3 linked regions of the Alligator mississippiensis genome follow. The protein of the gene in region 2 interacts with the protein of the main gene of each other region in a pairwise test. Links are inferred from orthologs where the notes say so. Each region holds a gene or a part of one and is shown on either strand. Other genes may lie near its edges.

Evidence for each region.
Region 1: the proteins of OSGIN1 (region 2) and CAPN3 interact in binary tests that used the Homo sapiens proteins (3 or more experiments, as listed by UniProt). The two-hybrid records come from large-scale screens. The link is inferred for Alligator mississippiensis from reciprocal best matches to the Homo sapiens genes OSGIN1 and CAPN3.
Region 3: the proteins of OSGIN1 (region 2) and BCAR3 interact in binary tests that used the Homo sapiens proteins (3 or more experiments, as listed by UniProt). The link is inferred for Alligator mississippiensis from reciprocal best matches to the Homo sapiens genes OSGIN1 and BCAR3.

Annotation. Positions count from the first base shown.
Region 1 is NC_081825.1:237,677,679-237,685,608, forward strand, and holds the start of CAPN3 (calpain-3), read right to left. Parts: upstream 3,590-7,930; 5' UTR 3,190-3,589; coding exon 2,899-3,189; intron 1-2,898. UniProt on the Homo sapiens protein: Calcium-regulated non-lysosomal thiol-protease. Proteolytically cleaves CTBP1 at 'His-409'. Mediates, with UTP25, the proteasome-independent degradation of p53/TP53.
Region 2 is NC_081833.1:43,816,077-43,823,880, reverse strand, and holds the start of OSGIN1 (oxidative stress-induced growth inhibitor 1), read left to right. Parts: upstream 1-4,393; 5' UTR 4,394-4,506; intron 4,507-7,322; exon of another isoform or gene 7,323-7,457; intron 7,458-7,804. UniProt on the Homo sapiens protein: Monooxygenase catalytic activity. Involved in regulation of cytokinesis; promotes RHOA activity, probably acting locally at the midbody in late cytokinesis.
Region 3 is NC_081828.1:33,801,337-33,809,637, forward strand, and holds the start of BCAR3 (breast cancer anti-estrogen resistance protein 3), read right to left. Parts: upstream 3,163-8,301; 5' UTR 3,132-3,162; coding exon 3,042-3,131; intron 1-3,041. UniProt on the Homo sapiens protein: Acts as an adapter protein downstream of several growth factor receptors to promote cell proliferation, migration, and redistribution of actin fibers.

The sequences.
Region 1 (7,930 bases), on a different chromosome or scaffold from region 2:
TGGGGACATTGGCCCTTTTCCAGTCCTCCGGGACCTGGCCCATGCGCCATGAGTGTTCAAATATTCCCGCCAGTGGCTGTGCAATGACGTCAGCCAGTGCCTTCAGTACCCTTGGATGGAGCTTATCCAGGCCTGCCGACTTAAATGGATCCAGTTCCTCCAAGTGCCTCTGCACCATCTCCGGGTCTACACTTGGTAGTCTGGCGCCCTGCTGCTGCCTCTCTACAATCCCAGTGAGAGACTTGTCTTGCCCCTCGCTTAGGAACACTGAGGCAAAGAACTCGTTGAGGAGTTCAGCCTTGTCCCCCCTGTCCGTCACCAATTGCTTCTGCCCATTTAGTAGAGGTCCTATTCCACCCTGGGCCTTCCTTTTACTCCCTATATAGCTAAAGAACAATTTTTTGTTATCCTTAACTTGGGATGCCATCCTCAGCTCCATGGTAGCTTTGGCCTGTCTAACTGCCTCCCTACAAGCGTGAGCAGAGGAGGTATACTCCTCTTTAGTAATCTCTCCCTGTTTCCACTTTTTATATGCCCCCCTTTTAGCCCGTAGACTGCTCTGGATTTCTCTGGTCAGCCAAGGAAGCCTCTTGGCCCCTTTCCCCCTTTTCCCCTGCATCGGGATCATCTCCCTCTGTGCCTGAAGGATCATTTCCTTAAGGCACAGCCACCCTTCCTGGGCTCCCATCTCTTTAAAACTCTTCCTCTGCAGTGCGTCCTTGACTAAACGCCTGAGTTCATTGAAATCAGCTTTCCTAAAATCTAGCACTTCCATCCTACTAGTTACCTTACCCACTCGACGTCTTATGGTGAATTCTATTATTTGGTGATCACTGTCCCCCAGGTGACCACCGATCTGTAGGTCTCCTACCATGTCATCCCCCATTGCCAATACCAGATCCAGTAAGGCATTCCCCCTAGTGGGCCCATGTACCTCCTGCGTCAGATGGAGGTCCTGTACACAGGATAGGAACCTGCGTGACTGGCGGGACTTTGCTGTCTGCGTCTCCCAGCAGATGTCTGGGTAGTTTAGGTCTCCTATGACTACCGCCTCCCTTTTGAGTCTTATGGCTCCTGAATGCTTCGTTTGTGCTAACCCAATTATTATACACCTTTTGAAATTGCATCACTGATGACTTCTTAAAGGTGGATCATCAAAGAATGATCTTGGGGATCGGGTTCCAGAAGTCTGATTTTGCCCAGATACCAAAGGCTTGATGTATCGGTGCCTTCTACCTTCTGCAGTCATTTATATCTGTGTAGAGTGGGTACCTTTTCCCATATTACTACTGGCATTTGTGTATATCTCCAGTCACTTTTTTCTCTGACATTCATCCACTATGTTGCTGCCTCAGCCTCCAAAAGGAAGGTAGGAAAGCACATCAGTTGTCAGACATGTCAGTAGGACCTTTTCAAATGCAGTATGTGTATGTATAGAAATCCTGTGCAGTGGACATGTCAGACATTATCTGAAATGTTTTCAACTCATGCCAAAGTAAATTCTTCCTCTTGCAGTGGGAACAAAATTGCTTTAAAAAGGAGGGAACTGCATGGCAGCTGAACCTGATGTAACTGCTTTCTTTGTGCCATAGACCAGTAGTGCTTAATCCTTGGGCTGGATGAGTGGCCTGAGGCTGATCCATGGGGTGGATATTTCCCATGGTTGGGACAATTAACGTTGCCACTGCTCCCCATGCTGCTAAATTACCAACCTTGTGGGGAGACCCATGGGCTGGCCGACATGGCCTTGTAGGCTGGATCTGGCCATTGAACTGGTGGTTGAACCCCCCTGTCATAGACAACTACAGTAAGTGAGGCTGAGCCTCAGTAATAAATCTGATTCAATCAGTAGTAAATTACTGCAATTAACTTAATTTATCACAAGTGAACAGCAGACAGATAAAACATTTGAATTGGCTCAGCAGACACATACTCAGAGGTTGTAAGCCATCCCTGTCCCTCTAAAATAGAGTTAATTGTATGTCTATCCATGCCTTAGTTTTGATTGAATTATCTTATATGTCAAGACTGGTTTTGCTGCAGTCTCTGACCATTAAATTCTGATAAATTGCTTGAGATATAAATCCATACTGCATTTATCCCAGAATGTCTGGGTTACCCCTGTACATCACATGACATCATCTTTTTTTCCTGCCCTTCATTTTGAAGGGTCACTTTTCACTCTGAGGAGAAATGTAATATATTTTTATGGCAATAATTATTAATACCACCCCCTAATTCATGGCAGGCAAATAATAGGATAACAAACTTTGCATTTGAAATAACTGTTGCTTGAAATAAATGATGACAAAAAAATTAAGTAATAGGGTCCCAATTCTGCTCTGTTAGATCCAGTGACAACTTCACTGGATCTGCTGGATCCACTGGCCCTAACTTAGAGTAAAGCTTGTTCCCTTATTTTCACAGTACATAAAAACAGTAGATCAGCATTTATCTATACCTCGTTCTACCTTAGCACTTCCAAAAAGGAATAAGTGCAGCCAAGTGGCTATATGTAATAAAGTAAAATTAAGAATGTCATCAATAAAATAGAAGTGGAAAAAATAAATCTTCATAAGCCCACTTGCCTATGCTAGAGAAAGAGGAGGAGTTAGAACTTGTTTTGACTGGTATCTTCAGATGAGGAAATTCCAAACAAATCAAGACAAGTAAAAGCCAGTTAAAATGCATTAAGAGAAGACTAAAGAACTTCATTCCAATCTCTTGTTGATGTTCAGTTAATTTTTTATACTCTTTCTCTACTTTTCTTTCTCTCTCTCAGCACTTCCCCATCCCTAGAAGGTAATTTTCCAGGCTGGGAAAACAAGTAAAAATACATTTCCTACATGGGTAAGTGAATTCATTATATTTATAAGTTTATGTAGATAAGTTACTCACTCGAGGTCTTTTCCACTCAAACTTGATGGGGAGCTTCTGGCTGTAGAAGAGGGAGCTGTCATTAGGTGGAAAATCGGGATCCTCATACAGAATCTTCTTTTCCAGGCATTTCTTGTGGAGTTCTGCATAGGCTTTTTCCTGTACCTTAATAATGGGCTGGTTTCGACTGATAATAGCAGAGTAGATCCCCCCTGCACCTCCACCTGCTTCAGTGGTTGTATTAACGGTAGCATCAGGAGCTGACCCAGCCTCAGTCTGTTGAGCCACTGCAACATTTACAGCCGACGGCATGGAAATCAAATTGAAACAGATTAACAAAGAAAGAAAAAAAACAGGAAGATCGTGCAACCTGGAAGGAAACTACCCGAAAGAAGAAGTTGTTTAACAGGCAGCTCAGCAAACAGTTCTTTCTCTTTGCAGCAAATACCCGTCAAATTTGAAAATGATGAAGGCTCATGATGTAGAATAATTTATACACCATCTTGAATGACTTCCTGTGGTCATTTTGTTACGAGAAACCAGAAATCCTTCTCTGCCATGAGGCAAGAGAAATTGCGTACCTTTTCTGTTTGTGCTTGGTGTTTTTCTAGCATGTGTGTGCGAGTCCCCTGTGCATGTGAGTGCCCTGTAGAAACAATTTTCATCCAGGAAAACTAAAAATAGCCCCAGGGAGAGAGAGAGGGGTTGTGCAAGAAAGTGTGTGACAGCTTGATGTACAGCTTATTCCTATTTGGGGCTTGCTCCTAGAGGATAGACACAGGTAGGCTGGTTTCTGATGCCATGTAGCTTTTTTTTCTCAAGTCAAAAATGCTGAAACTGTAGTAACAGTCACATATGGATTTAAGAAGTTTAACTTCCTATTATACTTCATACAATTAAGATAGACTCTGATACTGCAAAGATTTATGTAGATACTTAATTTTGCCTAATTGACTTTTGTCTTCAGAAAAAGTAGGTTTTTACACTCAAAAAAACTATTCTGATGTAAAGTAATGGGTAGTTTTTACCTTGGTATTTTTAGTTGAGGGCAACTATATACTCTCCACTTGAGTTAATTTATTCATCTACATCAAGACAGAAACTACAGTGATTTGTCCCTAATAAGATTCTGTATTAAGATAACTATCTACAAAAACACTTTTTTGCAGTGAAGGCATGGCAATAGCTTCAATAGGATTACTTGCAGTGTGTAAGGTTAAACACAATTTTTTTTGTAGGATTGGGGCCTAAATGCAAAGATTTTAGAAAAATAAGTTTTGAGTCTTTAATAACCTAATGTGATACTAATTTGAGATGTTAGTATATTTAGAAGATTATTATGGCATGATAGTTACTCTATATGCCCAAGATTTTATGGCAAAATATAAATTGTATTCATCTGAAAATTTAGATAGTATAGGAGAGATTCAGGTTTGATTAGGGACTGACTGGCTAGGCAGCAGCTCTGCAGAAACAGGCCTAGGTTACAATGGACAATACTGTAAGCTGAATATGAGCCAACAGTGTGTCCTTGTTCCCAAGAAGGCTAATAGTATACTGGGCTGCATTGGTAGGAGTATTGCCAGAAGATCAAGGGAAGTGATTATTCCCCTCTGTTCAGCACCAGTGAGGCCACATCTGGAGTACTGTGTGCTGTTTTGCTTTCTTTCTCACTCCCCTCTCAACTCCCCCTACACACACAAAAAGGATGTGGACAAACTGGAGAAAGTCCAAGGGAGGACAATGAAAATGGCTTAGGGCTCTGGGGTACATGACTTATGAGGAGAGGCTGAGGGAACTGGGCTTATTTAGAGAAGAGAAGACCGAGAGGGGATTTAATAGCAGCCTCCAGCTACCTGAAGGGGGGATCCAGAGGATGGAGCTAGACTGCTCTTAGTGTTGTCAGTAACAGAACAAGGAGCAATAGTCTCAAATTGCAGCAAAGAAAGTTTAGGTTAGATGTTAGGAAAAACTTTCTCATGAGGAGGGTAGTAAAACACTGGAACAGACTATCCATGGAGGTTGTGGAATCTTCATTCTTGGAGGTTTTTAAGACCCAGGTAGACAAAGCATTCACTGGGATAATATAGTTGGGGATGGTTGTGTTTTGAGCAGGGGTTGGACTAGATGACCTCCTGATGCCCCTTCCAACCCTAACTTTCTATGATTTTATGATCACTGAAGGTCCTAGCTGGTCTGTAATCTAATTACTGGAAAAATACATTTGTAGTGACACATGGCTAACATGACAGATTCTGGATTCCCACAATTTCAAAGGAAATAACCTAGCCAAAAACATTCTGCATGACCAGATGTGACATATCAGATTCCCCAAATCATGTTAAATTACATGGCACTGAAAATTCTACTTAAGTGGCTTCTTTATGCTTAGATTTAGTTGGAAAAAGCCATACACCTAGAATTTCCACTGCATGTATGCATGTGGTGACCTCAGCTGGAGCTGTGGGTATCCCCCTGCTCCCTGGATTGGGCCCCCAACTCATCTGCCACGACTTGATGGAATTTGTAACTAAAAGGAGAGGTTCAGTGGTGTTCTCCTTCATCACCTGGAGACGGGAGTACTCACAGACTTGTCGCAGTTAGTCCTGGGGCTCTGCCTCCCCTACACCCCATCCACTCACCAACCGCCAGCTGCATTGGGCTGCTGTGCCAACTCCTGGCTCAGACTCCCCAGCCTCTACTCAAACTGCTGGCTTGTAGCTGCATCCAGCCCTTCACTGCTGCCTCCCTTCTCCTGGCTCTACCCCCAGGCTGGGTCTCTGTCTGCCAGACCTATGGCCGGCTCCAGGCTGGATATGCCCATCCTGGGCTCCAGAGGTGATGGCTGACTCTGAGTCCCTTCCCCTGGGACTAGAGATGTGGACGCCTCGCCCGGCTCCCAACTGCTGCTGCTGCCTGTTCTCAGCAGGGCAGCGTTTTCCGGGAGTCAGCTCTGCCAGGCAACTCTCTAGAGAGCTTGGCGTCTCGCCTCCTGCCTCTCTTCCTGCACCCGGCTTCTGCCAGGGTTTTTAAATCTCCCATGGAGGCGGTCACAGCTGACATCATCAGCTGCCCAGCTTGATTGACAGCTGCTTGAAAAGCCGGTGCAACACCAGCTCGTGCGGCTCCTTCCTGTCCCTGTCCCATCTCTCAGGTAAGTTCTGAGCAGGGCCAGGGTCCCTGAGCCCTCCACCAGGGGTGTTGGGGTCTGTCTCTGGCACTTCTGGACCCTGAGGATGGCCCCTGCCACCACAATGGGAAATGGATTTTTCACATTTGTGAAAAAGGGAACATCTTACACAGTGATAGGCATGCATTGTTCATGTGATAACTGTGCAACTAAATGTATCCTCTTCCAAGAAACTCTGCACCAGAGGTGCTGAATACGTGGGGTCTTGAGGGCCCTGGCCCCCCTCGGGAAGAGGGCTGTCACCTGAAATGCATAAAACTTTCTACATGACCATCATCTTAGGTCCCCCTCAGCCAAAATAAAAGTCAACACCTATACTCTACACAAATCCAAAATAAGCTGTTTTTGGTAGGCACTGTGGCCTAAAGGATTTACGATTGGGTTCCTGGTACTTCGGTTCTCTACCAGGTCAAAAGAGCCCATTATTGGCATTATTAATCCTGGAGGAAATGCCTGATTTTGGGTCCATTTATCTTCTCAATTACACTGTTGTAAATCAGAAATAAATCTACTGATGTTTAAAACTCACATAAGTGAAAGGGATATTAGGCTGTTTGTTTGAAACATGCATTGCTTATTTCTGGTTCTTTGCTAGCTTCAGGCTGTTTAAATGGTAATCTGGATATGTGGAATTGGAAAAGACCTGCAATATCAAGTTTTTCTTTAACCAGGAGGTGTTAAATTACGCAAGAGATCCAGGTTTATAAATGGACTGTGACACAATTGGTCGGTCTATGGTTTCAGTGCATGTATTAATTTTATAACTTGTTAGCACAGCGATTTTTATTCAGTTGTTTCTTAGAACTTCACCCAGATTAAATGCTTTAAATCATATGGATTCAATCCTTGAAAGTATGGAACACCTCTTGAAGATCCAGCAAGACTGTATCACGTATAATTAGTGCAGTACTAATGGGTTTATAACCTCCAAATCTATTAATCCCTCAGCTTGTAGCAGTTGCTGTCTGAACACTGGACTCCCTTTTAGCCGCTCAGTATCAGAAGTACTTAATAAGCTTAAGCAATATAGGGAGAGGAATTTGAAAAAGCTCCAGCTGTCCTTGAAAATCTGAAAGCAGCTGCATCAAGGTGCACTGTCCAGCTGCAGAACTCGTCATTTACTAGGCCTGTGTGAAGCAGCTAGTATTTGCTTCGGATTCGGCTGATTTGGGGGACAGTGATTCGATTCGGTGATTCAAATCACTGTCCTGATTCAATTTGGCCAAGTCTCCGAATCAGCCAGGTGCATGCCCCACAGCCCGCCCCAGCTCCCAGCACTTGAAAAAAAAAAGCTCTGACTCAGCAGGCACTGCCGGGGGGGGGGGGGGGGGGGCAATCCTCACTGCCTCCCACTGCCCCCACTGCCCCCACTGCATGGGGGGCTGTGAGCCCCCTGGCCCCCCCTGCTCCCCCCAGCCCACCATGGATGCCCTGCCTGCCACAGCTCCAGCCCTTTAAGAAAAAAAAACCCAAGAAAACCCCTGGACTCACCACTCCTGCTGGCGGGGGGTGATCCCCACTGCCCTCCGCTGTCCCACACTTCATGGGGGGCTCTGCACAAGTCCCACGAAGCCCGAGGCTGCTGCAGAAGTGGTGAGTCCTGGGGCTTTCCTCCATTTTTTTTCTTAAAGGGCCAAAGCTGGCCCAGGCAGGGCACCCATGGGGGCACTGGGGGAGTGTGGGGGGATCAGGAGGCTCGTGCAGAGCCCCCAGTACAGGGTGGGGCAGTGGACAGCATCAGGGATCACCCCCTACCTGGCAGCACCGGTGAGCCCTGGGGCTTTTCTTTAAAGGGCCGGGAGCTGGGCCGGGCGGGGCAGCCATGGAGGGGCTGGGGGAGTGAGCGGGTGGGGCAGGGGGGCT
Region 2 (7,804 bases):
ATTCTAACTCTAGCGAGCCCTCTCCCAATCCCATCCTCATCGCCATGTGCGGGCTGGGTCAGACCCCGGGCCCTTTTCGTCGCTCTGCACGCGAGCTGTGGCCAGCAGCCCGGGCAGGCTGGGTCGGAGAGGGCGGGTGCCAAGCTAGAATTAGGCACAGACATGTAACAGTTGATTTTAAGATTGTTTACTTACACCGAGATGGTCGCGGTGCAGGCTGAGAACTTGCTTGAGTTGCGGTTACAACAGAAAACACGAACACACGTGGAGTTTGCTAGGCTCCACGCAGACAGAACACGAACAATCACGTGGAGTTTGCTAGGCTCCACGCAGACAGAACTCTGGATGTCCAGGACAAGCGTGCATAAAACTCGTTGATACGTCTTATAGTAGGCTCCGTTCGAAGACGGGAAGAGGTGGGCGGTGGATCAGGCCGCCAAACTCCTCTGGGCAACACACAGGGTTTCTATTACCCTGCCGCGTACACCCAGAGTCCCCACAAGATGGATGTGGAGTCCTCTTCGGCTTGGGCGGAAACTGCTCAAGCCTCTTATACGGCTAGCCGCCACGTGTGAATAATTTAGAACTAGCCAATTGCGGGGCACAAATTTGCATACAACAAACGGGAACTCTTTGCACCGTGCATTTCTGTGTTGCAAAGGAAATGCACCCTGCAAAGACTGCTGCAAAGTGGCGGGAACACTCCTTTGCACGCTGGTCCTCTGCGCAGCAGAACTCCTCCGTGCAATGAAGCTGTAAACCCACGGGGATAATTCTTAGTGCCAAAGCACACACAAAAAATCAGACCTTTGGGTCATGACACCATGCTTCAACAAACTCAATTAATCGAATCTGCTCCGATGCACTGTAGTTACAGCACGTATAGGCAGCCCAGGAGTCTATGGTCGGATAGGACATGTCCACACGTGTGTGGACAGGGTTTTTTGGATAACCTTTTTCCCCCAAGATTATCACATTCTTAGTACATAACTTTCAATTTGGTTTGAAAAAGGACACTGGTCTTATAAAATGATGATTTCAAATCAGAAGACAAGGCTTTATTGCTTTTGCATGGTACATTGGTCTGGAATCAATTATCTCCCTTGCATTTTGGACAGTAAATAACATTCCCATGTTGATTCATGCAAAAAAATAAGGACATAAAACAGATCTCAACTTCAGTTGGCACTTATACGCCGATTAGTGATATTAAAGTGTTTTTAGACTTTGGAAAGATAACTAATTAACCATCTGGATTTCACTTATCATATGCTAGTACAAGGTGCATACAAATGTAGTGTATCTGACTTAAAATAATTATAGAGGTTGTGTTCTTTTCAAAGGACCATTTCCCCAAGCTGCTTGGCCTTTGTTTTAGAGGTACATATTCTTTGTGTAATACTGTACCTATGGCCATACTAAAGGAGGTGAGGAAAAGGATATAGCTTTTATTGATTGAAAAAACAAAAACAAAACAAAAGTTTTAGTAACATTTTAACTAAAATTATAGCAATAGCTTTAACTGCTGACAGACATGTGGAACCAGTGGTGACTGAGCCAGGATTATGGGAAAGGTTATTTAAACTTATTTCAACCCAGAATGGAAACTAGCCCTGTCATGTTCACTTGTTTATCTTTGATTTGTATTAAAACATGTGCTTGTGGGCAGTTCTGTCCACTCAGTGTTCACATGAAAAACTGTAAGGTGAAAAGTCCACTTGGATCAGGATGAAACTTTTCATAGAGTTCTATCTACACGATATGCTTACTGAGCATTGGCCTAATAACAGTGCACAGCATGTCATGGCAAAAAACATGCTAATAGCCTGCTACGCAGTGTTATTAAGTTAATGCACAGTAAGCATCACTAAATAACTGTGCGCCAGCGCTAATTCACAGTAACTTTAGGTATTTAGTTAGTCCTTTATTAAGGAAGTAGTAAACTAAATGCACAGTATCTAAGGTTCATTAATGAATGTGTAGACACACCCAGTAGCATCCAACCAGATTCTGAAACCTTTCTCCATGGTGTAATAAGGGCATGAGAAAAAGGAACCTGTCAAATCAGACAGTAACAAATTGAGAATGTCTTTATATTCCTTCCAAATGTGTCAAAAAAGAATCTAGGCTCTCTAGAAACATGTTGCCTTGTAGGAGTGTGTGATGCAGGCCCTATTCAGGGACAGTGATTCGATTCGTTGATTTGGATCACTGTCCCCGATTCGATTCTCCCAAATCTAAATCTGAAGATTTGATGCTGATTCAGAGAATCAGCGATTCAGACATAGACGCAGCTTTAAATAGTTTTTCTACATACCTTGAGGTACCAGCATGGCTCGTGAATGCTTCAATGTTGGGGTGGATGGAGCGGCCCACAGGAGTGTTGGGGAGCCCTCCACATGCTTGGCAGTGAACCCAGAAGTGGACCAGAAGTACTTCTGGTCCACTTCTGGGTCCACCAGGGAGTGCACAGGGCCTTCCCCCCACCCAATGCATTCCCCCCCAGTTCGGCGATTGGCCACAGGGGGACCCTGGGTAGCCCCCCAGACCCAGGAGACACTAGTTGCTGAGCTGGGGGGCATGGAGGGGGCCCCCCCGCATGCTCCCCGGAGGACCCGGAAGTAGACTGGAAGTGCTTCTGGTCCACTTCCGGATCTGCTGCTGAATGTGCTGGGGAGCACCCTGTGCTTTTGTGGGACACTCCATGCACCTCAGCATTGCAGCATTCACAAGCCACCTGCTACCTAGAGATATGTAGAAAAAACATTTAAAGCTGTCTCTATGTCTGGATGTCCACATCTCCGAATCAATTCGGAGGGTTCCAATTTGATTCAGAGAGATTAACGGGTCCTCTGATTTGATTCTGATTCAGAGATTTGGCCACTTAATCTGGCCAAATCTCTGCTGAATCGAATCAGGGACTGAAGCTTCACACAGACTTATTGCTTTGTGCTCCCCCAGTTCCTTTCTGAGATAAGCAAAACTCTCTTCTAAATTCCTAAAGATGATATGCTGATAGGTTGGAGGAAGCACGTGTAAAGAAAAATACTACACTGCACACCTGAGGGGAAGGGACTGTGAAAAAGAGAGGTCAATATTACACTGTGGGCTCAGACTGCTGTAACTGAGAACACTTTGCAGGAAGCAGTTCAGAGAGTTACAACAATGCCCTGGACCAAACAGAAGTTCACTATTTGTTCCAGGGAGGATCTAGCCACTGGCTGGGAGCCTGCAGCCAGTTTCCCCTAGCAACAGCCCCTCTTCTCTCGGCCTGTCTCTGTTTCAGAATGGGAGGGAGGAAAGGGAGCTTGTTCTAGGGGTATAACCTTGGGGGGCTCCAATACACTCACCCCAGCCTCCTGCAGGGGCTGAAAAAACCTCAGACCAAACTGCCTGTACTCCCATTCTGAAGACAGCAACACACACTGTAGACAGACGTTAGGAAAAATGCTGTATTTAGAAATGTCTTCATCTGACCCCTCATCCAATTTTTGAAGTGGTCTGCAGTTCTGAATTTGTGTTTGGTCATGACTATAGACCACTTTCTTTGGCCAGATTGGGTGAAAATTGTCACTTCTGCCTGTGCCCTAAACTAGGCAAGGTTCAAGTGATCATTTTATGAGCCCAATAAAGTATACCCAGACTTTGAAAGCACTCTTGAAAGCATGAGGTAGTGAAACCTGGGTGAGGTTCACGCATTCTGGAATGGATTTTTCAGTCAGGTAAATTGACTTTCTTTTCAAGTTTAATCATTAATGACTGGGAGATATGAATAGGAAGGGGTTGAAAATCAAATGTATTTCACAATTTTTGAAAATGTTCACTTTGAAGTTTTCCAAAAGGAGTGAGGGTTTGGTTTTTTTTTTTTTTAGAAGAAAATTCAATTGTCAGATTTTTTTTTATTTAGTTCCTTTTCTTTTAGACACTGAAAAGGGAGAAGGACAGAATAAGAAACCAGAAAATAATTTAGTTTGATTATGTTTTAAAAAAAAAATCATTTTTGAGAAAAGGATATTTTTTGATGGGGAAGGGGGGAAACAAACCTTTCAACTAGCTGATGAAGCTGTGGTAAAGATAGCAAGGAGCTATTCTTATCCCACATTAAAATTAAGAATGTTTCCCAAAATTAAATTCCCAGTCTGGGAAGGATAGACTTCCCTCCCACTGATGGTGTAAAGAGGCGCAAAGGAGTGTGCCACAGGGCACTAAGGTGCCTGCTCCTTTAAGAGCAGAAACTGCCTAGGGAGAGGGCCCTAGGAGCCAGACAGAAGCCCCACAGGTGCAGGTTACTATGGAGACAGACTAACGGGGGAATTAGCCTGCATCTGTACCCGGTCAGCTGACTGGAAGAAGGCAGGGCCCTGGGCACATATAAGCCCCAGGGTTGAGACTAGTAGGAGTTAGTTCTCTAGCAGCAGCCAAGGAGAAGGAGCCTCTAGGGAAGAATTGCCCAGGGATGCAGTGACTGCCTGATATGCTGCATATGGGGCTCCAGAAGCTCAACAGGTACCCTAGCCTACAAGGCATTTAGTACTGGGGAAAGTTTGACTTCTTAAAGGGATAGAGCATGCCCTGAACTGCTTATCTTATGTTATAGCCCAGGGAGTCATATTTTAGTTGCTGTTTATAAACACCGGTGGATTGGGCTGAGGCTATTGAGGAAGGAGGAGGCCCCACTGGGGGCCCACTATGGTGTAGGAACCCCAGCACCAGAGAAGGGCGCAGCAACAAGGGGGTGAACAGGCCCTGGTGCCAATGTGGGGTGTGGAGACAGGGCTCCAGAGAGCCTGGTGCTAGTGTGGGCAGGGAGACAGGGCTGCAGAGAGCCTGGCAATTACCAGAGACCTAGCTAGTCTAGGGCCTCAGATGTGACCTGGTGTGAATACCAGCTGTGAGGCTTGGGGTGTGGTAAAAGGGTGATTTTGGAGCCATGCATCTAGCCCATAAGGCTGAGGCTGTCCCATGAGGCATCCATTTTGAAGCAGGACCCAAAAGAGGTCTAAGAACCCACAGGGTTCAGTGGGGTCCATCAAGACCGTGTCCCCAACACAAACTAGAAGGCAGCCTCCTGATTTTACTAGTATTACCAGCAAGATGTGGCAGTCCAAAAAGAGGGTGCCCATGGGGCAGAATTGGCATGGTCAAGGAACCCTAGGGATGTCACGGCCATCCTTGGGGACCCCACGCCGTGACAAGAGTTAAAATAGACAGAATAGCTCCAAAAGGAATATAGAAGAGCAGCATCTCTGACACCTTGTCTTCCCCCATTGTGTACCCATAGGAATTTGTCTGAGAAACTCTAATGTTTGGATTCTTTGGCTTTGTTTAGGGGAGCATTGAAACTCTTGGGGGGGGGGGGACAGACTAGAGCAAGCTGCTTTTAGCAGCTGGCTTTCCACAGGAACCAGTGAAAATCTGTACTTTCTGTGCAACTAACTTTCCCTTCCTGCCCCTATGAGAAAAAGGAAGATTGGAGTAGCCAGTGAGCACACAGGACCTTAGCAATCCACATGAGTAGGAAGGAGAAGAGGGCCATGCAGGGTAGTGCAGGACAGCCCTTTTCATGTGGTATTGATAGCTTTCTTTTTTTGGCAAATGCCTCAAACTTGCAGCAGTTGTAACCCCTGTCCTGGGTCACCAATGCAACATCATGGGATCATAGGAATTTGAGGCTGGAAGGGACTTCTTGAAGTCATCTACCTGCAGAATACAGTAGTGAGGAACTTGGGAAATTGCTGGGTTCAATATCTCTTCTCATAAGTTTCCTTACTGTTACTGACCTAAAGTCACCTCTCTGACAGGGGGTGATAATCTCATATTTTTGTGAACTGGGTCCAAAATGACTTGCATCATATACAAAACATTTGCCAGACATAGAGGAAATAATGTTAGTCATAGCACTATGCTTGAAACAAAGGGTTGAAAGGAGCTCTTTTTCCATAAAGGAAAATAAGGAGACTAGTTAGTTTTGTGTTGGTGTTTTTTGTTTTTTTTGTTTTGTTTTCCCCCCTTAGACTAGGGTGGCATAGACCTTTCTGTACAGATACTATTTACTGAATGTTTACAATAGTCTTATAACATTCTAAGACCTCCCAGCCCAGATGCATAATCCAGTTGTCCACACTCACCAGTACTATGATAAAAAAAGCAAAAGCTGTGTTAACCGGCATTCTATTGTTTTACTCCTTTACTGGTAAACAACTAGGATTTTGCCAGGATGCATCCTCCAGAAGATACGATTCATCCCATTGCCCTTGCATGGCACTTCCTCACTAAAATAAAGCTCCTTTTAATCCTTCCTTTTTGCCAAGGTAGAAAACTCCTGATATTTGTAAAATCAGGGTGTGAGAGGAGGCAAACTCCCAGGCCAAATCACAGTGCTGGTCTGCCCACCTGTCTGTTGGCAAGCCACCCACCTTACTCACCTGCCATGCTTTGTTAAATAATCCAGATGTTACTAGGTGGGAGGCTGCCCTTTGAGTGCCCTGCTGCCAAAGGGTGGTTCTCACATGACTGACCTCCTTTTTATTGTGTCTCAACTCGCAGATGTCATCCAGTTTGTTCAATAGATCTGGCTTGCAGCTAGGTCAAGCTCAGACTTAGGCCTCACTCACTCTGCCACCCCCTCTCACTGGGGCATCTGACACTCTGCTCACGCTCACCGAGCTTGTCGCACTGCCTGATCCTGAGTCTCCCCCTCCCTCTCCCTCTCTCCTCCCTTGAACGGCTCCAAGAGGCTTTCGGGCTTCTCCTTGCACTCCTTGAGTAGCCCTGGCTCATCCTTTTGGGTCCCTTCTTTGGCTGTCATCCGAGTGGTAACCACTCGATCAGCCCTACTCCGGGCTGACTGCCCCTAGCCCCTCACTGGGCAATGCATCATTTCTGCCCCCTCCTTGTGGCCAAAACTCTGCCCCTTTTGCTGGGGCTCTGGGGTCTTTCACTCCTGTAGGCTCAGGTTCCTCAACCTAGCATACCTGGTCCACTACTCTGCCCTCTCAATAGGGCCTGAGGTCTTACACCCCTGTAGGCTTGGGGGGCCTCTACCTGGCCCACCATTCCAGGGTCCTACACACCTGTAGGCCTCAGGTGCTTTTGTGTAAGTGTGCCTGGCTTTCCCTGTTCTCACAATAACCCACCAGATGGTGGATGCTGGGGTTAAGGTGCCTCGCCTGCCTTTCACCAGGGAGGTACTGGCCTGGTATTTCTTGAGGGCTCCCTTGCCACAGTGAGTCCCATCAAGCTACCCATCCCCAGCAGGGTACAGTTTCAAGTTGTACCCAGGGCCAGGAGCCTCCTACCATCCCCATAGCTCCTGCCCTTACCTCCAAGATGTTCCAGGAGCAGGGGCTCAGCTGGGTATTGTTGCTCTGGCTGCCAGCAGCAGACTGCTGCCCCAGCCCTGAGAGCAAGGGCCTAAAATGGCTGCCTCATCAAGGCTGGCCTGCACTTTCCTGCTGCCTGCTCCCAACCCTTAAAGTGACAGACACTGAAAAGGTGCTCTGTCACACAGGAATAGTTAGTACATTGAATGCCTGATCCAGTGGGAAGATTCCTATTGATTTCAGTGGTCTTTGGATCATGGCCAAAGACTCAACATTTACTGACCTTCATTTCATGTATGTAATTACCAAAAATATATAGGCAGTAACAAGTACTGTACATTATTGCAGGCTGATAGTCTTGAAAATGGAAGTTGCTTGCTTATCCACAGAACAAGCAGAAGCAGGGAAACGTATCCATTTCCAGTAAATGCCTTTCTAACTTGGAAGAAATGTCCATCAGAATGGTAGGGTGGTCTCAGCAA
Region 3 (8,301 bases), on a different chromosome or scaffold from region 2:
AGGCTGCTCAACTGCACCTCTCCCCATCCTCATTCTCCCTTCTCAGCTCTAGGGCTGTCAACCAGAAGGGAGGGGGAAAGCAGCATGGAGCTGTTGGTTTGCCTGATCTGAGCTGGGGGGTGGAACAGAGCCCCCATGCCTCATAATCCCCCCACCAAGCTACTCTGGCTGGAGTACTAGGGGGAGCTGGATCACACCCAAGAGACAAGGGAGCTCTGTTTCACCCCCTCCTCCAGCTCAGGTTGGGCACAGCAGTCAGCAGCTACTGCTGCCATTTTCAAAAGGCCTGGCTGGAGCTGGGGAAGGGGGGTGCAGGGGAATGGAGCCCTCTTACCTTGCAGGCCCAGCTTGACTCCCCACCAGTACCCAAGATGGGGGAGGGGGGGGTCAGGGCAGGCTTGTGAGAAGAGATCGCTCTGTACCACACTCCCACCCCTCCTCCAGTTCAGGCCACACAAGCTAGCAGCTCTGTGCTGCTGGCTTCCCCCTCCCTCCTGGCTGACAGCCCTGACCCTGCATGAAAAATTAACCCTCAAGGGAACACGAGTTCTCTAGGGTGCACTAAAGCAGAGCACCTTGATCTAATAACAAACTTGACAAGGGTTAATTTTTCATGCAATCAGCCATTTTAAAAGCACTCTGCAGCTGTCCACATGCGTTAGGTCATGGCAGCAGAGCACTTTCAGGGGCCAGATCATGTGAAAAATGTAACTTCTGTCTGCACCCTAAGTGTAACCATTTAGCAATTCTCAAATAGGGTGCCAGGGAACACTAGGGTCCTGTCAGATCCCTTGTGTGCAGGCCAGGAGCGGTCCGAGGCCCTTTTTTCGCGCGGCGGGCTGTGGCCAGCAGCCCGGACATGCCGGGTCGGGGAAGGCAGGCGGCACGCTAGAATTAGGCACGGACGCTTAGTGGTTGATTTAAGAGTATTTTACTTACACCGAAGATGGTCGCGGTGCAGGCAGGAAAACTTGCTTGAGTTGCCGTTACAAAACAAAACAAAACTCGAACCTGCAGAACACGAGGGTACGTCGCAATGGGGTTTCGGCGACGGGAAGATGAACAAAAACCTCGAGAGTACGTTGCAATGGGGTTTCGGCGACGGGAAGATAGACCTGCAGGACTTGAACCCGGGTAGAGCTCTGGATTCACTCACACAAAGTTTGCTAGGCTCCGTGGAACTTGCATGCAGGGAAGGGTATGTCGAGGGATCAGGCGGCGATGGGGAGAGGCGAGAGGCTAATCAGACCCCTATAGCCTTCTTGAGATACACGCTGGGTCCGATAGGCTCTGCAGCGCTTAGAGATCTTCACGAGATGTGAAGTTCTCCTCCTCCTGATAGTTGTGGAGTCCTCCAACTTGGGCGGAAACCGCTCAAGCCTCTTATACGGCTAGCAAGCCAATCGCTGGCCGCCACATAGGAATAATTTAGAACTGGCCAATAGTGGGACGCAAATTTGAATACGAATGGCGGGAACTCCTTGCACCGTGCATTTCTCTTTTTGCAACTAAGAAATACACCCTGCAAAGAAAGCTACAAGTGGCAGGAAATAATTCAGCAGTACCAAAGCACACACAAACAAAAATCACACCCTTGGGTTGTGACACCTTGAAGGGTGCCAGATATAAGGTTTGAGGATATGTAAGAGGTGATAAGATAAGTAGATAAGTACAGGCTCAATCTTGTCCCTGTCTGACCATCCTCTACCCCACTATCTGGCCCCTCTGTAAGTAGGTCAGCACTGTACTATAAATTAGTTTTTGAAATTGGTTGCCAGTCAATTCACAAAAGTTATGAAGGCGTGCCTTGAGTCCAGTGAAGGGTGCCTCAAGCCCAAAAAAGGTTAAGAACCACTGATTTAGTGTTACAAACTGAGAGGCTTTGCTTAGTACAGGACAAATAGACTATACTGCTGCATTTTGGCAAAGTGGCTGTGTTCGCAATAAGTTTTAGCAAACAGTTACAAAATGTGTTTTTGTTCTTTCTACTTTTGTTTGAGATGAAACAAAGCCCTGCTTTCATCTTTCTGTCCTTAGGCCTATCAGGCAAATAACTATATATTGCCTGCTACTAGGAGTAGTTCCATGCACAGTAATTAATGGGACTATTCCTGGTAATAAGCATTACAGTTTACAGAAGCTGATTATAGAAACAGGATCCTGTTTGTGTCTTGCTTAATCACATTACTTAAATTTGAGAAAGAATAGTTTATTTATCCATAAATTATGAAAAATAAAAGCCCCAATCATTTTGTCTTTCAGCCAACAATACACATTGCAAAGAAGTACTAATTTAATAGAATCAGCTCCAACAGTTGTTAGCATGAATGAGTAGACACAAAGCATTACACATTAGACTTTCAAGACCTTAAACCCTAACTCTGCATGGAGATGCATGTAGGACTTCATTGTGTTCACACAAAATTACACACTGTCCTGAATTATCTTTTTTTTTAGTTCCCAGCAGAAGTACTGATAAATAGTTTATATTTGAAAGAATTCAGTTAAGAAATGTATTTGTATTTACTATGAGTATTAAAACCCCAAAGCAAAAAAGGAATATATGCTTCAATAATAGTTTGTTGATCTTTTGGCTAAAATAAAATCAGTTGCAGAGACTAGATAGTGTAAGTGTAATGTTGTAGCTTGCAATGGTCCAGCAATTATGTGAGTTCTTTTGGAATAGGTTAGGTGAAGATCGTTTTTCAGTTTTTCTAAAGTTCTCCTGCATAGTTGTGTCTTTCTCAGAGGCTATGCATTTACAGGAGGTTGGAACTAACATTAAGCTAACAAATCATTTCCATAATTAATTTATATTCTCTTCAATCTTCTTTAAACTCAATTTAAAAATAAAGGATTACTTGGGCAATTCTTTCTTTCTCAAATCCTAACCAGAATTCAGCTGTTCACCTGAGATTTGTGTGTTAATGTAAAGCTCATATTTCTTATTTTCTAACTGTTCCCCTACTACCTCTGAGATTAACTGTGTCAGTCTGATTTGAAACTTTCATGGCAATCTTCCTGAAAATCCATTTTCTTACCTCTACACCATCATACTGCTCATCAAAGAGTGTGCAGTATTCTGTGAGTCCCAGCTGGGTCAGCCAGTTAGAAATCGATAAATGCTTCATCGTCTGTCACTTCCCTAGTCTCACGATGCTTTGACTGCAGAACAAAAATCAGCTTTTAGATCTCGTGTATAGGCAAATACAACATAGTTGCTTATTCAGTGAAACTAGTTAATGAATGATAGATAACAGTGGAAAACTGACAGCATTGAAGGTAGCACATCAGTAGCAAATGGGCTCCTTTGATTATGTAGTACTATTAATTCTAAAGAAATTCAAATGATCAGGTCATTAATGTAGAGTTACTAGTTAATTATGCATTAATAGGGTCATAGTTTGAGGTTTACAGACAGATTCTCAGCAGGCATAAATTAAGTCAATGGGACCATGACAATTTATGTCAATTGAGAATCTGCCCACAAGTCTGCATTTAGTTCACTATTTCATTTGTAACTCTGATGTTACTGGGTGTGTTAAAGGCTCTGTGTGTTTCATTTAGCCTTCATGGTTTTTAAGAAGATGAATGAACAGAGGCCCACAGTGCTATAGTATCAGCTAAAAATGCTCAGTTCTTATATTCATGGAGAATGTTCTTCAATATCCTCATCCAAAAACCATGCCATATTCCCTCCTTAATGTTTAGTAAATTGAATGATAAAATGTATGGGAGGGAGAGAATAGTGAATGGGACACTGATATGTGAATGAATGTGGAGGAAGTGAATGGGACAGAGTGGCTTATAAGGGACAAAGAGTGAATAGGAATTTGTGGTGTGTGTTTATCAGAGACTCACAGACAAGTCAGTCAGTTAGAGAATATCCTATAATTGGGAAACAACATATAAATTGGGCTCTGTTAGAACACTGGCTGAGCTTGATTTTGAACATTCAATAAATGAAATCTTTCTAAGAACTTTTATATTTGTTGGCTTCTTCCTGTAACTAGGGCTCAGCTTTGGTCCTCAGCTACAAGATGCAAGAGCCCATTTCTTAGTTTATCTGCTGGCTCACAAGCTATGCTATTTTAACCTACCACCCACACTGGATATTAAAGGATGCCACTGGGGGGACAACTATGCTGCACTGCCTGCAGTTCATAGTTGATTTTTTGGTTTTGTGGCTGAAGTGAAAACATCAGAACAGATTTTGTGTTTTGATTTGGTGGCTGAAATTAAAGTTAGTTTGGATAATCCTACCTCTCAGGACTATGTCCTAACCAGTACGGCTGTCAGATATTCTTGAGTGAGTCACTGAGCCTCTTCTATTGGAGTCCTTCCCTTTGTAGAAGTAATTAAATATTAATTGAATCAGAGAAATACTTCATGATTATAGCACTGTCCTGGTAGAATGGATCTCTCAGCTTCAGTCCCTATTCTGGACATAGGTGGAATTTGAATCATGGGCTTCCACATGGAGTGTTCAGCTCTTTCTATTATATCAGGGAGCGTCACTCTCCTCTTCAGTTGTGTGAACAGCACCTAAGTCAGCTTTATCTACTCCAAAAAGATCAAACTAACATATTTCAGTAATGCTAGAGTGAACTGTTTGACAACATTTCCATTTTTTCCAGCCAAAATGCATTTTGGCAAAACAGACTGGCTGACCTGCTCCACCGGGCTTTAAACTAAGCCCACTGGGGGACGGGGGGACTACCGCCACTGCTGGCCCGCTGAGCAATCCTTGCAAAGCCAGCGGGTCAAGACACTTAAGGGAGCCCACCCCTGCCCCAGCCCTGGTAAAATCTGTGGGCAAGGAAGGAGCCCCCCAGGGGACACTTGCCTGCCTGTACACAAATGCCAGGAGCTTGGGGAACAAGCAGGAGGAGCTCATCCTCCTGCTCAATGAAAATAATTATGATGTCATAGGGATAACGGAGACCTGGTGGGACTCCACCCATGACTGGACCATGGGTATAGATGGCTATACCCTGTACAGGAGGGATCATGTAGAGAAAAGGGGCAGGGGTGTAGCTCTCTATGTTAAGGAAAGCTACACGTCCCTGCAAGCCGATATTGGCGACCAGGATGGATGACTGGAGACCCTCTGTGTTAAAATCTGTGGGGAACACGGCACAGGGGACACAATGGTGGGAGTCTACTACAGACCTCCCACCCAAAGTCCTGAGCTTGACCAGGAGTTTGCCCGGGAACTGGCTGAAGCCGCATGCTCCAGGACCATGGTTGTCATGGGTGACTTCAATTACCCAGACATCTCGTGGGAGGATCGCTCAGCAAAATCTGAGTGGTCGCAAAATTTCCTCTTGTGCATGGATGACCTCTACCTGACTCAAGAAGTCTATGGGCCAACAAGAGGCAAAGCGGTGCTCGACCTGGTACTGGCTACTGGGGATGACCTAGTCGGCGACCTAGTGATCGATGGGAAGCTGGGTGACAGTGACCATGAGCTGATCACCTTCACCATCTGCCGAAAAGCTGGCAAGTCAGTCAGCAACACGGAAGTCCTTGACTTCAGGAAAGCCGACTTTGACAAGCTCAGGAGGCTTGTCAGTGAGGCCCTAAGGGACCATGACCACAGGGAGAGGGGAGTTCAAGAAGAGTGGTTGCTCCTCAAGGGAGCGATCCTCAATGCACAAACTAAGTCTATTCCATCTCGGAGGAAAGGCAGCAAGAGGGCACAGCAGCCCCCCTGGCTCTCCAGGGACCTAGCAGACCTCCTGAGGCTAAAAAGAAAGGCCTACAAAGGATGGAGGATGGGAGTCACCTCCAAGGAGGATTATTCTGCACTGGTCCGGTCCTGTAGGGAGCATACCAGGAAAGCCAAGGCTGCAACTGAACTCCAACTAGCTTTGAGCATCAAGGACAATAAAAAGTCCTTTTTCAGATATGTGGGGAGCCGAAGGAAAAGCAGGGGCAACATTGGACCCCTGCTGAACCAGATGGGGCAACTGACAACTGATGCCCAGGAAAAAGCCAACCTATTAAATAGGTACTTTGCATCGGTCTTTCATCAGTCTCATGGCACGCCCATGCCCGCTATGGGACAGGGAAGTCCGGGTGAGGGTGATCCCCTGCCCTCCATTAATGCTGACTTCGTGAAGGAACATCTTGAGAAGCTGGATACTTTCAAGTCAGCTGGCCCTGACAATCTTCACCCCAGGGTACTCAAGGAGCTGGCGAGCATCATAGCCCAGCCTCTAGCACAGATCTTTGAAAACTCTTGGCGCTCTGGTGTAGTGCCCGAAGACTGGAAGAAGGCCAATGTGGTGCCTATCTTCAAGAAAGGGAGGAAAGTGGATCCGGCTAACTATAGGCCCATCAGCCTGACTTCTATCCCGGGGAAGATCTTAGAAAAGTTTATTAAAGAGGCCATCCTTAATGGACTGGCCGATGCCAACATCTTAAGGGATAGCCAGCATGGGTTTGTTGCGGGTAGATCTTGCTTGACCAATCTCATTTCCTTCTATGACCAGGTGACCTATCACCTGGACAAGGGAGAAGAGATTGATGTCATATATCTTGACTTCAAAAAAGCCTTTGATCTGGTTTCCCATGATCACCTCTTGGTGAAATTGGCCAATTGTCGCCTTGGGTCCTCCACGATCCACTGGCTGGAAAACTGGCTCCGGGGTCGGACCCAGAGGGTAGTAATTGATGGAAGTCACTCATCATGGTGTCCTGTGACCAGTGGGGTCCCCCAAGGCTCTGTCCTTGGACCCATACTGTTCAACATCTTCATTAATGATGTGGACACTGGAGTCAGAAGTGGACTGGCCAAGTTCGCCAATGACACCAAACTTTGGGGCAAAGCATCCACATCAGAAGACAGGCGGGTGATCCAGGCTGACCTGGACAGGCTCAGCAAGTGGGTGGACAAGAATCTGATGGTGTTCAACGCCGATAAATGCAAAGTTCTCCACCTTGGGAAGAAAAACTTGCAGCATCCTTATAGGCTTGGCAGTGCTATGTTGGCTGGCACTATGGAAGAAAGAGACTTGGGGGTCATCATTGACCACAAGATGAACACGAGCCTGCAATGCGATGCTGCGGCTAGTAAAGCGACCAAAACACTGGCTTGCATCCATAGATGCTTCTCAAGCAAATCCTGGGATGTCATTCTCCCCTTGTACTCGGCCTTAGTGAGGCCGCAACTGGAGTACTGCGTCCAGTTTTGGGCTCCACAATTCAAAAAGGATGTGGAGAAGCTTGAAAGAGTCCAGAGAAGAGCCGTGCGCATGATCAGAGGTCAGGGAAGCAGACACTACAATGACAGGCTGGGAGCCCTGGGGCTCTTTAGCCTGGAAAAGCGCAGGCTCAGGGGTGATCTGATGGCCACCTACAAGTTTATCAGGGGTGACCACCAGTATCTGGGGGAACGTTTGTTCACCAGAGCGCCCCAAGGGATGACGACTAGGTCGAATGGTCATAAACTACTGCAAGACCGTTTCAGGCTGGACATAAGGAAGAATTTCTTTACTGTCTGAGCCCCCAAGGTCTGGAACAGCCTGCCATCGGAGGTGGTTCAAGCGCCTACATTGAACACCTTCAAGAGCAAACTGGATGCTTATCTTGCTGGGATCCTATGACCCCAGCTGACTTCCTGCCCTTTGGGCAGGGGGCTGGACTCGATGATCTTCCGAGGTCCCTTCCAGCCCTAATGTCTATGAAATCTATTAAACTGTTTGTCAAAAATAAATATTCTACTCAGGAGCACTCTTTCCTCATCAGCATCCAAAATGGCATTCTATCTGGCTCAGCCCTCTGTAGAGAGCCTCCAGTTATTATCACTCCTGTACTGCAACTTGTTGTGTCATCGTCTCAAACTTTAATAAGTCATAATCTAACCCAGTTGTTCTCAAACTTAGCAATAGAACCCTTAGCAGTTACTTGGTGCTGTCTTTTCTTGTGTTCAGTGTACTCAACTGCACTAAAAGATATAGAAAAATGTATTAAATAGGCCCCTAGAAAATGTTAATATAATAATAAGATTGGGATCTGAGGAATTTATGCCGTATCCAAAAATGGTACATCCTGCTATGCTGGATGTGCACTGAAGGATGCACAATGTCTGGGATAGATTTCATAGGGCATAACATTCTTCAGATACCAATCATGACACTGCTATAGCCAAACTGGGTCCCAGGGCTGTCCCCAACCCAATCCTGGGAATTGGGCTGGAGGGATGATGCCAATCATCAGCTGATTATCAGTATTAGCCCAGGGCAGTCATAGGCCTGGTTTGAGGGTCTGTCTCAGGCCCAATGCCTGACAATTAGC